Diceros bicornis minor: one gene and its partner. The protein of the gene in region 2 purifies or fractionates together with the protein of the main gene of each other region. This does not show direct contact. Links are inferred from orthologs where the notes say so. Each region holds a gene or a part of one and is shown on either strand. Other genes may lie near its edges.

Region 1 (7,834 bases), on a different chromosome or scaffold from region 2:
TAGCCCTCAGAGTTAACAATACTTTTTTCCTTCTTTCTACAGTTTTGACTTCCTATCCACATTGTATGTGTCCTGTGTTATAAGCCATCTCAAATGCTCATTAAAAAGAGAGAGTTTAAGTATACTAATAGACTTCTTTTTAAAAACCACTTTTGCTATCTTAGCTCCCAATATGCCAGGCGCCTATTCCAAACAAAAAGCACTTACTTGGCAGATGAGGAAACTGAGGCATAGAAGCTCACTTGCTTAAGGTGGTACCCATTTAGATGGCTTCTTGACAACCAGATCAAGCCTTGAATCAAACCAACAAATCCTATTACCTACATAGCACTGTGGTAGACCCTGGGGTATACAAAACTGAATAAGTTATGGTTATAGTTGAAGATTCCCAACATCTCTGCTTCTAATTGATGGACATCACGCTTCCCCAAACATAGTGAATAAAATTTCACCAGTTACAATGGAATCTGATCTAAGGACTATCCAAGTCACCCTGACTGGCACCAGAAATGTCCTCATTCCCTGAAGGGCATTAGGGCTTGGAATGATCCAAGGATTACTTGGTCTAGAACCACACTGGAATCCTCACAGGTGAAGGACGGCACCATTTAAAGAGGCCTTTTTCTCACACCATTCAGTACAGGCCAAGCTACATTTTTCCTCTTACTTTTTTCATGCTTTCTCACAGTATCAGTACATGGCAGAGGTACAAAAGTGACTTGAAACACAATGTCCAATTCAGCTGAAGTTCTGAAAAAACAGATCACCTAGGAATTGCTACGTGACCTTGACTAGTCCTCAACCAACTCATTAACTAAATAAATGCCTTTTATCATCACCAGGGAAAGGGTAATTAGTCATCATAAAGCAGTTTAATACAAAGTGCTGCGTAAATGCTAAACAATAAAGCTCAGAAGGAGCAGATTAATAAGAAACCCGGCGGTACATTTACCAGCAAATGGAAACTTACAACAGGGTCTTCCCACATTCCTGGCAAAAACTGCTTCTTTCAGCTAATGGGATATGAGTCTCTAAAATCATTCCCACTTGGCCTGACAATCGTACACATTAGCAATATTCCTCCTGGGAAGAAAAGAGGAAAAGGGATACTTATTCCTGGTAGGCAGTCATACAGACAAATTACTAGTTAGCCAGGTGGGCAATTAATATTTGACTACCTACTGTATGCCAGGTACAGAGTTAGGCAGAGTGGATACAATGGTGAACACGAGTCCCTGCCTTTACTGAGTTTACAATCTACAATACAAACTTTGTCTTACTAATAGTGGCACTTCCAAGAATAAAGCCTTACTAAAATAGAGGCAAGTAAGAATAAAAACACCTAATTCTTGAAGCAACTAGACAAAAGAGGACAGGCTAATGGGGAGAGGATGAGTTCAGGGGATTAGGGTACCAGGGCTTTCCCATTCTTCCCCCTAACTCATCACAGGTACTACCCTTAAGCCTTCTGCTTATAAAGGCTGAGACTGTATCTCCAAATAATGCAGGTTACAAAGGGTTACTGCCCCAACAAAGCAGTCAGCTGAACTGATAGCACTAAAAATAAGGTTAATCAGACTTCTTAGAACCAAGGGATCTTCTATAACCTTTTTTTAGGCATTCTATTGGTAAGAGCTTAATTTTGTGGCAAAACAGAGCTAAAGCACACGATGGTGACCTGTCTTTTCAATTCTGCACTTGATTTCTGGAGTAGTAGATTAATTTTCAAAAAAAAAAAGTCATCTCTCCCACTTATGACAGCATAACGAGCTCAGGTGCAGGAGCCTCCAAGACTGTAACTACTCCTGCAAACCCTGCTTTGTTCAGCTTATAGAAGCACTGCCTCCCATCAAACACTGCAGGCAGAGAGAGACAGCCTTGAAACACTCTGTCTTTATATAGGAGGGAAATATTTATCCAGGTTCTCACTGGTTTCAGAAAGGTCACGTCTCTGCAAAGGTTCTCTGGTCTATTGTTAACTGGATGCCAGGTATGTCACAAGTCAAGATGTGGTTGGCAACAAATGCTCAGAAAGCACTACAAATCCCAATTCCACCACTCTGAGAACTAGTTAGACTAAAACCTCCAAAGGCTGCCATTTATTTTTCCACAAGAGAATTAGAAGGGCGTCCTTTGAGCTCAACCCCCAGCACAACAGACTAAACTTGTTCTGCCTCAGTAAGTGCAGTAAAGAATGAGCAATCGTTCCTTACCACCCACCCCTCCAACCCACCCAAGCTCCTTTCTCAGGGGATGCCTAAGTGATCTATGCACATGACTACGATCAACCTGTATCCATGACAATGTCTGCTGTCACCAACCTCCAAAGGTTAATTTCTCACATATGTCGAAGCAACTGGACGACCGTAAAAGGTGAAAATCAGTTTTCTTTTGAATCGCATGTTGTCCTCATTGCTTTCACCTGCATAAAAGACCCAGCTCCACGCATTTTTTCCCTCCTGCTCCAAGCTAGCACGCAGTTGTTGGATAAACCGGCCACCGCTTCCAAAGATTTGCCCGAAGCAGCTCTACCCGATTTACACACTCGCCCGAGGGGAGATTTTCTGAACACCTCCATCCCATGGGGCTGGTCACAGAGATCCACTGAATTGGTTCACCCCCTCCCACTCCCGTCTTGGAGACCTTTCATCCAGGAAAAGTCAGCCGCAAATTTAAGGCCCAGCCCTGCCGGGTTTCGAAAAGATCCCGAGGGCCGAGGGACAAAGGAAAGTGAGGTCAGGGGCGGCCTTTACAGCTCGGGATAGGTCTGGGGCCGCTCACCCGCCCCTCACACCACCTCGGCCGTCCCGGGGCACCTCGAACCTTGCCCCGAAGTCCCGAACTAGCTGGAGCCCCGGGCTCGCTCGCGCCCCTTCCGCGAGGCCCCAGCCTGCGCCTCCGCCGCCACTCAGAGCCCCCGCACCTTCTTGGGCGCCTTGGTGACGGTGGCCATGAAGGAGTACTTCTCGGCGTCCTCGATCTCCTTGGCCTGCTTCAGCTCCTCCCCGACCCCGGGCAGCGGCATCGCGTCAGGCATCGACATCCCCCGGCCGGCCGGGCCCGCGGCTGACCCGCCGCCCCCGCCTCTTTCCCTCTCGGGCGCCCGCTCGCCCGCCCGCGCGGCTCCCTCCGACACGCGCTCGCCCACCCTCCCGCCGGGCCCCGCGCCGAGCTGCGTCCGGGGCTGAGGAGTTGTGACCCGTGCCGCGTTCGCACCGCAGTCCAAGACAGCCAAACAGCAACGGCGGCGACGAGAGCACCAGAAGCAGCAGCGCGGAGCTCTGACCGGTCCGCGCCACCACCTCCGCCGCACGCAAACACGCACGCAAAGTAAGGGTAGAGGAAGGTGACGCCACGTCAAGTACTGGCAGCTCCGGGGAAGAGGAAGAGGCGGGGAGAAACGGCGCTCTGTCATGACGTCACCACGCTGGACTGGGCCGCCGAAGCCACCCCTTCTTCCTCCCAGCTCGCTGGTGCTGAAGCTCCCAGCGTGAGCCTGACCCTTTGCGCCGCCAGGTGGCGCCATCAGCCCTGTGAGAGGCGCGTGGTTCATGCAAGGGTGCCGCGTAATTCGGGGGGGGGGCGTTTGGGACTGCGGGCTTTCGGGCAAGATCTCGGAAGAGCGTGAGGGGGATGCTTGGGAGCAAAGACCAGAGTCCCACACGACACATCCTACAGCCAGTCCTAGGTGACATTCGGGGCCCAAGACAGCCCACTCACTGCCCCCACCCCAGGCCCTTTGGACCAGAAGCCCCTTCCCAAGGGGCAGTGTTTGCCTCTTTGACTTAAGGGTGGGCAGAACAGATTCCAAGCTGTGTGGTTTCTGCGCGACCCTTTGTGACCTCCTTCACCACCGTCTCCGCTGGGCCTTGCCTGTTTACAAGACCTTCAGGCCGCAGAGCTGATGTTGTCGGCCATGAGCATAGGGATAATGGGTCAGAGGGTGGAGAGCATGAGGGGCGGGGGTGGAGGAGCCTGAATGGCTTTCCTGCTCCATGCACCCCGCCCCTTAAGCACGAGACTCTGCCAGCTCCCAGTGCGGCAACCAGGGCGTTCATGGACCATGTACATGCTGTTACTGGGCCGTACTACGTACTGTTCTTGTGCTAGACCCTGGATAGTAAAGATGAGTGTGATACGTTTTATGTTTTGCAAGGCTTTGTCCACCCGAAGACTCAAACCGTATTTGCAACCTAATGTCAGCTGAGGTAGCTTGTCCTTTGAGATTCGAACGACGTTGGCTCCAACTCCCATTTCCTGTGGAAAGTCCAATGCCCTCCCCAGGATTTCTGTGAATTACTGGGGGGACTTAGATTTTCATGGTTACCTCTGGCTCTAATTTTCTGCCTCATCTGAAGTTTTGTTCGCTATTCTGGTTTTGTAGCTGTTTCTTTAGTTCCTGCTGTCAATTCAAATATGGAACATAGCCCCTTCTCCTTTTAACCCCCACCCCTATTCCAAAACAACCACAAAAATAATGCCGTAACATGTAGCAGAACTTTTAATGAAGGTTTGTGGGCCACAGGGGAGAGATTACATCACACAGCAAACAATTTAAAGTCATATTTCTAAAATGTTCTGAAAAGTTATTTTGGCTATCTTGTCACCCAGGATTTCTCACTGGCCGCACCACCCCACAAAGATCCCTAGCCCATTGCCATCTAATCTAGCTTCCTCTTCTTATTCCCTTCCCATCCCTCCACCTCATCCTCCCCTCCTTGAGTAACTCTGGGAAGCCAGATTTTTCTCTACGGTGCTGACTATTCAAGTCTTCCCACTGCCCTTTTCCTAAATTTCTCCCCAGGCCACCTTTTCATATCCAGAAACCTACCAGGTCTCTGACAGGGTCAACTCTTTCAAGAAAGAAGTTGTAGTTTGAAGTGATATTTTCCCCACTGGTTTATGTTCAAAGTTGGGAAGTATGTGAAATACTTGCCTGTGGGGCTCCAGAAGTCTTAGACAGAGAAGCCCATGTTCCAGCCCCATGAGGCCATCTGTTTGATGCAGGCTGTGGAAGTGCCTGGTAGGATGCACACTTCTGCAGATCCTGGTCTTTAACTGTCAGGATTCTCTCATCTGCCCACTCTTTCAAGCCCCTCAACTTCCCTCTCAGGGGTATTCCTGTAGCATAAGGGACAGAGAGATGGGGAACCAGAATGCTGGATTCATCTGTAAGGGTGCCAGACTGGCACCTTTCTCCTCATCTCCCAGCCGGGGCCCAGAGCTATACCTGCCCACCCAGGACTCTTTGGACATATGGCCTGAGGTAGCTTTCATCCTATGGGTTTGCCTGAACTATTGTCAGAGTCCAGGGATCAGAGCTGCCTGCTCAGAGAACAGAGGCAGAACGAGTTGGAACAGAGGTGAAAACTCCACATTCCTTGAATAGGAAAACATGTGACTTAGGATAGCCTATTTAAAAATAAGGAAGCAGGGTGTGTTTGTCTTTTGGATTTGATTTTTAAAACTTCCATTGTCTGAGAGCTTTGTCTCTCAGGACATGCTGTGCATGTTAGTATTCAGATTATGAGATTCCTGGAGACTGAAGTTCAGCCTCTCTTTTACTCCTGAACCAAAGTAACAGGTTTTCCCTATCACCACGTTCACAGGATTGGCTGTTGCTGTTGGGGGTGGTGAAGACAGGGCCAGGCCTAGAGGAAGCAGTACCTTCACAGTTTGAGCCAAGAAGGAGACCAGAAGGTGTGACTCCACTTACGTGAGTGCCTGGCCCAAGGTGGGTTTGGGGAGGCTGACCTAGGGGAGTCGGGGTGCTTAGACTGGAAGGATGGAGGGGCAGCGCTCCCTGCCCTGGTGGAAAGGCAGCAGGCCTACGTGGTTCATGTCAGGCCACAGCCAAGGGCATTCCTGGAAACCAGCTTGCTGCAGAGGACATGAGTGGCTGCCCTTGCTCCCATTGTGTGTGACTGGAGATCAAAGAGCTCACTCAGCCAGAAAGTGTGATGACATAACATCAGTGAGAACCATTGCACGCTGCCCCCACCACTCCTAGATGGCTGCACATGGACCAGCTAAGGTGTTGCCTCTCATGGATGCCAAGAAATGACCTGTCTTCAGCCCACCCACCCACCTACCAGACGCAGTGCCTCTGAGCTTAGTCAGGTGGATGAGTCGGGGCTCACTCCCCTGAACAGCACAATCCACACACAGATGAGAGAAGCCACCAGGGGCCAGTGTTTGAGAAGAGCGGGGACCCAAGGACAGGTGCACCTATTGTGTGTGGTCAGGGGAAGTCTCCGAAGGGCTTAGAGACCAGAGGGGACCCTGCTCTAGAAAGGGTACCACACATGGGCTTGATCTTATTAATCAAATCCACCCTAAAATTTACCCTCCAAATTCAGTCATTTTTTTTTTTATTCATAAAATATACATTGAATGCTGAAGAAGGAGCAGTGTTGGATGTTGGGACAACAGAGAGGAATGAAGTACTGATGTCTACGTGGGGACAGATGGTGGAGGGTAAGGTGGGTGGGATGGTGGATGGGGATGAGCAGGAAAGGCTTCATAGAGGAAGATGCTGCTCTACCTGACTCTTGACAGTTAAGCAGCTGGACGAGGTAAGGAAGGGATTCCAGGCTGAAGGCATAGCCTGGCAGGGCAATGAGAGAACTTGGCATGTTATGGGAACTGTAAACATTTCAGTGTGAGTGGGACACAGGGTACAAAGTAGAGCAGAGTGAGAGCTGAAGCTGGAGCCAGATGTGGCTGGATGGTGGTGACATGTACCGAGATGGGGAACACGGGAGGAGAGGCAGGTCTGGGTGGAGGGGCTGCTGAGATAAGGAGTCAGCTTAAGACATGTTGAGGTTGATATGTCTGTGGAGTGTGCTGCCCTATGTCCAGGGGAGCCTAAGTTGGAGCCTTTCACACCATCTGCTCCCTGCCAGTCTGGTACCCCCAGCACCCTGCAGCAAGGCTGTGCTCTCCTGTAGGCCAGGCCCCACTTTAGTCCTCCGAAATGAATGGTGCAGAAAAATTGCAGGAGATCTTGGGTGACAATAGAAGTATGGAAACAGGTGAACAGCTCAGTGGCTCTGTGTCCAGCAGACCCCCTCCCATTATCTTTCTGTCCCAGAACCGCCATGTTGCACAACTCTGGAAGGCACCATTGACATTGTAATTGATGTGAAATGTGCCCTTGGAGCACGAGTCCAGATTGCTGGTCTGCCCTGCTGTCCCTGAGGGACTCCCCAAGGGGAAGGCTCCCAGCTGCACCTCTGCGCCTCTGGTGCTGGCTCCCCAGGCATGCCTGGCTCCTGCTTCCCACTGAGCTCCTTCATTCCCCCACTTCCAGCCTCCTTCCCTCCCCTGTATTCAATTCCAGCCCTTTTGAGAAGATAGGCCGTCCCCCAGGGCCTAGAAAGACTCCTCCTCCTTCTCTGCCTCCTCCTGTGCTTATTATGATCCTATTTATTATGCATTTTACTGTTTATTATTGTTTTGAACATAATCTTTATAGGAAAGAAAAACCCGTGAAGATAAAAATCTCTTTAAGTTCACTTCAGGTTCTTATCAATTTGCAGAAACTCACTTTTACATACCTGTGATCAGTAGGTATATGTCATTTTGTGTTCCAGTTTGATCAAATCATAGTGTTTTGAAAGCACGTGTACCACATGTGGACATTGTTTACGTACTTGTCCTTGTCACTGTTTCCCAAGGGTTCCATCCTATTGCCATAGGAGTTTGCTTACCCATTTTCCTATTGTTGGGCATGAGTTGTTTCCAACTTAATGCAGTATAAACAGAGTGTGTCGGGGTAGGAGTCAGAGTGGGAATGGCTTTCAAGCAAAACAGACAAGGGTGGGTCACAGCA
Region 2 (7,412 bases):
CCCCAACCCACAGGAAGAGAGCTCCACAAACCCCCAAAGGCCAAAGCCTTCCTGGCCTTACTTGTCATACCAGGTGTCCTCTTAACACTTGTAGCCCCTGAGCTAAATATCGATGTCAAGGTCAATACCCTCCCATGTGGCCCACCTTTTCTTGAGTCATACTCACCCTCCAGGAGCTTGGGCACAAAGTGGGCAGCTGCCTTGGTCTTCTTGACTCGATTTCCCTTCATGACTCGACCTTTCTTGTCCAGGCCCAGGTACCAGGCCCGGCCAGAACGGCACTGGCGATAGAGAGCAGAGGCGTACAGGACATAGTAATTCTCAAAGACGCACTCCTTAAAGCGACACTCAGCTGTGAAATGTGGCTGAGGGGACAAAGACCCAGAAAGGCACACAGACAGAGACAAAAAGACACATCACTGGACAGAAGGCAGCCCTGGGAAGAACAAGCCAGGATATAATCCACACATTTCGGGCTGGGAGGGCCAACTTCTGAGCCCACGCAGAAACTGGGAGAAAAAGAGGATGAGGAAGGCCCCTGAGGGTCAGGAACTAGACTTTTGGGAGCCCTGGAATAAGAAGATACCTTCTCTCTACTCTACTCCCAACCTCTCACAGTCCCCTATCGTGAATGACTTCAGGGAAGTGAGTAATAATGAAGTCGAGAGGAGGTAGGACAAGAAATGGCGGCCCTAAAAGGCTGAGAGAGTTGGACATTCAAAGAGCCTGGGGGTATCTGGGGGGCTGTGCAAGGAGTAGGGATTGGATGGACCCTAGAGGAGGTGCTCTGATGTGGGCGAGTCCCCAAACCCCAGGCCACTCAGCCTCACTGTCTCACCGAGCTGTAGAGCAGCCCCTCAGCATTCATGGCCATGTAGTGACCCAGCTTGGCACTCTGGATGGTGACCACACGGAGCCCCACTGGGATCAGGTTGAAGTGCGCTGGGGGTGGAGAGAGCGGGCATCAGTACCCCAGGCCTCGAACCCCCATCTAAGCTCCCCCCATCCCAGCTCCACTTCTGCCCTTGGGGGATCAAAGAGCCAGACTGAAAACAACAGAACCTGAAAGGGAATAGGATTGTCATCTCCTAGCCCCATCTCCCCCTTCCCACCCAGCCACTGGCTTCCCCTCTCACTGAAAGAGCTGGTGTCCTCGGGGGTGCCCTGGATGCTCCCGTCAGGATTCGCCTGGAGGTAGAAACCCTGGCGGCAGAACAGTTTGGTGACGATGCCTTTGAGCTGAGGCTCTGGAGAGAGAGACATTCGTCTTTGAAAATGACATCTCTGTTCCCAGAAACATTTCTACACTTGGCGGGATCAGAAGAAACAAACAAAGGAGAATGGAGGGAAGGAAGAGGGTCCCAGGGCCCCAGCTCTTGGATCCTCCAAGCAAGCTCTCTCCCACCTCTCTTTGACTCCTGAGAAAGCTGGGGTGTGGGTCCCTTCTGCTTCCTCTAACCACCAGCTTTCAGTTTAATTTATTGAAATTTATTGAAATTGCTTAATTCCTACTCTACAGCTCAACCAGAAGCAGGGGGAGGGGAGAAGAGGGAAGAGGAAGGGGAGAGATACATCAAAAGGCAGAGGACAGTGGGAGACAGGCAGGGCTGCTGAAGGGGCAGTGTGTTTGCGAATGTGGGGGGCAGCAAAGTGACCACAAGGTAGGGGCGCCCCCTCAGGAGTGGGGGTGGGACTGGGCCTGACGCTGACTCAGCACCTGCTGCTGCGGCTGCCGCTTGCTTGGCGCGGGCCTTGCCTTGGCCCAGCGCCGGCCTGTCTGACACTGACCCATCTGTCTGTCTGTCTGTCTGTCAGTCTGCTGGCTCCCGGGGGGCCCAGCCCTCCCTGAGGCTCAGCCAGGTAACCCGCCTGGGGTGGGGGACATTCGGTACCAAATCAAGGAAATGGGGGAGGGGGCTGGGGAGCTGGCGAGGCAGGCTGAGTCACGTGGGGCCCGGTCCCACTCAAAGGGTGGGCTGCGGACCGTACCACTGTGGAGGGCCGGCGGCGGGGAGAGGAGACCGCGAAGGGGCCACCCCCAGGAGAGCTGGGAGCGGGCGGGACCGAGGCCAGAGGGACTCCCTGCCTGTCGTAACTGGACGGGGACTACACGCTAACCCTCATAGCTCTCCTTCCCCGTCGCTTGCTCTAGGCCGACTTCCCTGTACCTCCTCGTAGGTGGTACAACCCCCAGTCTCCGTGCAGGTCTCCAGCCATGTACTGTGTCTGAGTTCCTGGCGGCAGAGGGTCCCCTGAGTATGTGGGACCCGATTTTGGAGTCGCGTAGGGGGTAACGGGGGGGTGCCCAGTTCCCTTCTTGAAGCGCAGGTCACGGGAGGATGGCGCACAGAGAGGGGGACTGGTGAGGTAGCTGCAAGGACAGCCGGGGGAGAGGAGCGGGGATTGGCGCCGAGCCAGGCAAGCTCGGCCAGAAGGAGTCCAGCCGAGGCGGGGAGGAGCGGGAGAACCGGGGCGGGGGCGGGGCTGCCGGAGCTGCAGAAACCCTCGAGGTGACCCAGGCGTCCGGAACCCCCAGCCCCTCCGCTCGGGATTGCAAGAATCGCGAGAGCCGGCACGTAGGCGGAGAACGGTGGGGGTGGGGATTCCTGTGTTGGGGGCGGCGAGCAGGAGCTGTGAGGCTTAGGGGCCCCCGACTTAGCCCCTCAAGCTTTCCCCTTGCCCTCGAAAGCAAGGAGACTCGAGGTTATGGACAAAAGAGAAGGGAAACTGAGGCATAGTCTGGCAGAGACTTTGTTGTCCTGGCCCACCCCCTTTCACTTTCGGGGAGCGCCCTCAGTCGGGCCGCATTCTTCAGAGTCTCTGGCCTCAACCTCCCAGGCAGAGAGACCCAAGGCCCGGAGACCCCGCCCCAGCCACTCACCCGGGCCGCGATCTGGCCGCGCGGGCAGCCCCCCGCACAGTTGCACCTTGGACAGCAAGATGAGGAGCTGCTTCTGGCAAAGGGACTTGGTGCCGCGGGGACACACGCGTCGCTGCGCCGACACAGGCCGGCTGCCCCCGGGCTCGCGGACCTCCCGCTTCTGCCGGATCAGGCTACTGGCCAGCGCCGCCATGGCGCCCCAGGAAGAGACACCCCCAAACCAGCAAGCGCCCGAAGCGCGCTGGGCTCCTCCAGAGAAGCCCGCTCACCAGGGCATGCTCGACACTACAGTCCCGATTCTGCGCCCCACCAACAGGACCTGAGGATAAGCCCTAGACCCTTCCCCCCCACCCCTTTACACCAGCTCCCACCCTTGGGCCCCGTCTTAGCTCCGGACCCAGCAGCCTATGTACCTCTCAGTAGACCCCACCCTCGACTTTCGCCCCCTACTGAAAACTCTCCCTTTCCCTGCTCTCCAGCGTCCCTGTTCCCACTTCCGCTATCCCAAAGCCAAGACCCTCAAAATTTCCAAGATGTAGTTCCAATATCCCCAGGCACTTTTCCACCCTATTTTGGGGCCCTGCACTCCTGCCAAATCTACTCTTGTAATCTAAAAGGTGTGGGTCCTTAGCTTTGGGGATATATTAGCTCACCCCACCCCATCCCTACTAGCGTGCTGCCAATGTCAGGGAGGAATCCAACCTTGGTGTCTTTGCCATCCTCTAAGTGGAGAGGATCCCCCACTTTTTTCACTGAAATCCCCAAAAACTATGTCTGGGAATATCCAAGCTGTCCGTGGTCAGTGAGAAGGGGTTCCTAGACCCTGTCTCTGGACAATACCTTTTTTTTCACCAAGTCACTCCCATTTCTAGTGGCACTGGGTTCCCGCGGTTGAGCCCCTTTCCTCACCTTGTTATCCTCCTCTCCTTTTGAAGCCACATCCAAAGCCTCCCTTCCTAATGGATACACCAGGTTGTTGTCTGGAGGTCCCTCCCTTACCTGGAAATAAGGAGCATCCGGTTTTTCTGCTTCTTTTTTTTTTTTTCCTGGCTGTCCCTTAATTTCCTCGGGGACAGCTGGTGCTGTTTAGATCCCACGCCCTCTAATCCATTCAGCCCCCTCAGCGAGGAGTGCACCCACGTTGTCACCAATCCCCAAATGTGAACAGGCCCCCTACAAGTCAGAGCGCATCAGAGCTTCCTGCGACAGAGCTTCGTCTCCTCCCCGGGACTGCCTACAGCACCCCCTCTTCCTTCCCCGACGCCCCTCAACCTGTCCTGTCTTGTTGATCCGGCGACAGGTGGCGCTGGCTCCGGTTCCAGGCTCCCCCCCCCCCCGTCCTCTGCAAGCGGAGCTTCCCCCCAAGCCCGGCTAGGCGCCCAGGACCCCAGGAAGGAGTGAGGGTGTCTCCGCAGAGCGCCCTGGTACAGCGAAGTCAGAGCACTGGGCCTGGCCGCTGGACCAAGCCGAGCGGCGGGAGCGCGGCAGCGGCAGCGGCTGTTGGGGAGCTGAGGCGGCGGCGGCGACAGCAGCTCCCCCTCCTCGGAGAGCCGGCCCGGGGGCGGGGCAGGGGGCGGAGACGCTGGGAAAGAGTGGGGTGAAGCTGGGCGGGCGGAACCCCAGGGTTCCTTGGAGGCAGGGAGTGGGGACGGTCTTAGAGGCAGGCAGAGTGGAGGCAAGGCCGCATGTCTCGGGGTTCAGAGGAGGAGGGACAAGGAGGCGACTCCACTGAATGGAACCCTGGATGGGGGGAGAGGTTGGGCTTAAGGCAGACGGAATGGCGGACGCCCCAAGAATGGAGAAAGGGAAGAGACTCTACTGCCCAGGATGGGAGTTCACAACTGGATGAGGAAAGTGGGGGCAATAACTGAAGAGATGGGGGTAGTGGTGAGATCTAGCCTGGGGTGAAATCCGGCCTCATTAATATCTCTGCTTTTGTGTGAGCCAAATTGGTCAGTCCCTGGTCTCCATACCTCTCTCCCTTCCACGTTTTGTCAGCAAAAAACATTCCCCCATCCTATTGACTCCTAAGAGAAAAGGCCATAAGAATTGGGGGGAGATGGTTACCGGAGGCTGCACCGGAGTGAGAGGGTTGCTGGCCACAGATTTGGAAAGTAGAGAGGCCGGAATGGAAGGACCTATGCCAAGAATGGGGCGGGAGGAGGGTGGGAGGATGGGGAGGAACCGGCGAGGAGGCCTTCTAGAAAGGGACCTTTGGGCAGGGCACTAGATCTGTCTCCCAGGCGAGGGGCGAGCAGTCACCCTCCACATCCCGCTGGCCAACAACAAGCACTTTCCACGCTGGTAGGAGCAGCGTCTTTAATGGGCCCCGCCTCCCACGCCAGCTAAGCCGCCCCCCTTGCGCGCAGCCTTGGCCTCCTCCACCGCTGCTCGCAGGGCCCCGGTAGGGTCCCCGCGGAGCCGGGCCAACGCTCCGAGCAGCGCAGCGGCGCTGTCCCCCGCACGCAGCTTTCGGCCGCTCAGAAAATAGTGGGGCAGCATCCTGGCCTCGAGCACACGGCCCAGCTCATCCAGCAGCCCGAGGCAGCAGGCGCCCGCATTCTCGGGCCGCGCCAGATAGAGCGCCGGCAGCCGCTCGCACGCCCAGTAAAGCAACGTCCGCAGGAGGTAGGGCGCCGCGGCCCGGGTCCCGGCCACCAGCGGGCGCAGCAGGGCCTGGGCCGCCCCGTGCGCTTGCAGCAACGGAGCGGGTATGCGCGCCTTGAGCGCCAGCTCCTGGCGGGCGAAGCAGAGCTGCCAGCCCGAAGCGCCCGGCCGCTCTGTGCTGCTGCCGGGCACCAGGTAGAAGGACGACTCGGAAGCCAGCGGGCCGGCCCACGAGTGGCTCCGAGCCCCTTCGGGCCAGCCGGTCACGGACACCACGGGGATCAGGTCGAAGAGCAGGAGGTGGCGCGGGGGGCCCGGCGTAGCCAGGAGGACGGTGGTGAACCCCTCGTGGCGGGCTGCGTGGACCAAGCGCGGGGCACCAGGGACCGGGAACAGAGACTCAGCGACCGCGGCCAAAGAAGCAAAGAACCACGCAGCCACCTGTGCGGGGCACAATGTGGGCCATGTCTCCCAAGCCTCCGACGGCTGTGGGACTGGGCTAACGTCGGCTGCTTTGGTGACGTCACCATTCAGTTTTTTCAATGGTGCGGGAAAGCCAAGATCGGTTACGTCTTGCCCAGGCGACTCGGGCCCCGAAATGTTACTAGGTGGTTTTTCCAAAGACACCTGCGGCTCATGCTCACTGATGTAACCATGCGGCTGGTCCACTGAGCTTTGCCAGTCCTTGGGACTTCCTTCACTTTCGGTTCTGTGGATCGAATCAAGTCCTCCTGGGACTGGGGGTCCTAGGCAATCCTGCCATGCCTCCCGGACCGAGGTTCCGCGTAACTGCTCTGGGAGACAGAGCCATGCGTAACAGGATTCCCTGTCCATTTGTAGCTCCTGCCCAGTGCTGTCTAGAGAAAACACCGGCACCAGGAGTGTGAAGCCGGCGTCGTAGTGAGGTCCCCGGGCGTAGGGACCTAGGGGTGCAGGCCCCAGATCCAGGGAGCCCTCGCGAATCCCGCCACGAAGCAACAAGAGCTCTGCCTGGGGAGGAAAGCGGGGGTCTCTGCGGTGAACAAGACCTAAGGGAAGAGAAGGGATTGTGAGGGCGTGACCCAAAGCCGGGGCTGGGTGGGGCGGGGCTGAGATCTGTGAGTTCCCGAAGGCAGAGAGGGTTACTTACCGAGCAAAGAGAAGACAAAGTCCTTGGCCCGGAGGAGGTCTGGTCCCGGCTTGGGCCCGTCACTCCAACTCTCCTGTACACCTAGCTCCTGGATCAACTGGGTTAGTTCCTGCAGCTGCGCTCCGGAGCAGAAGTCGATGTCCATGAGCGGCCGGGCTGGGGCTGGGGGCGGCGGGCCCCACCAGGGTGCACTCCCCCAGACCGTGGAAGCCATGTGGCTCTATCAATTTGGGCTAGGGAAAACACGGAGGGGAGAAAGCCTAGACGGGCCTTTCCTTTGCTGCTGAAAAGTCGCCCCGGTTCTTTTCTCTTCCCGAGGCCGAGAGAGTGCCCCAGAGACAGTCCGCCAATGGGTCTGCAGATGAAGGGCTCTGAATTTAGTCTTGAAAACGAACAAATACCTCCTCCGTCCTTGCCCTTTTCTCATATGCTAGTCCCCGCCCCCATGGACCAGTTCACCTGACTCAGCAGGTAAAAATTAGCTGTTGGACTCCTCCTACGGAATGCGATAGCCAGTCTCCTCCGCCGCCCCTTGTTTACCTCCCCTTACCTCTTTTTCGGAAGAGCCTATGGTCTGCGGCTTCCCTTTTCGGGGTAGCTACAAGGGTTGGGAAGAGAATGCATAAAATGATTCAACAGGTAACTTCTTCCTGCTGCCCATAAGGCCACGCCCCTAAATAGGGCCACGCCCTTTTCTGGAGGCTGTCAGGGTGGTTCCGGGCCGGCCCCGCCTCCAGTCAGAGTTCAGACTCTCCCTCTCTGCGGAGATCTCGCGCTATCCTAGGAGTTATAGTT

Evidence for each region.
Region 1: the proteins of FGF11 (region 2) and AHCYL1 purify together in Homo sapiens (affinity purification with mass spectrometry; 3 studies listed by BioGRID and IntAct, with this or other methods). This does not show direct contact. The link is inferred for Diceros bicornis minor from reciprocal best matches to the Homo sapiens genes FGF11 and AHCYL1.

The regions. Positions count from the first base shown.
Region 1 is NC_080743.1:43,022,775-43,030,608, reverse strand, and holds the start of AHCYL1 (S-adenosylhomocysteine hydrolase-like protein 1), read right to left. Parts: upstream 3,095-7,834; 5' UTR 3,044-3,094; coding exon 2,924-3,043; intron 1-2,923. UniProt on the Homo sapiens protein: Multifaceted cellular regulator which coordinates several essential cellular functions including regulation of epithelial HCO3(-) and fluid secretion, mRNA processing and DNA replication.
Region 2 is NC_080757.1:10,882,314-10,889,725, forward strand, and holds the start of FGF11 (fibroblast growth factor 11), read right to left. Parts: upstream 3,195-7,412; 5' UTR 3,075-3,194; coding exon 2,882-3,074; intron 1,248-2,881; coding exon 1,137-1,247; intron 943-1,136; coding exon 839-942; intron 366-838; coding exon 167-365; intron 1-166. Other genes in the region: TMEM102 (transmembrane protein 102), read right to left, coding at 5,201-6,516, 6,618-6,831.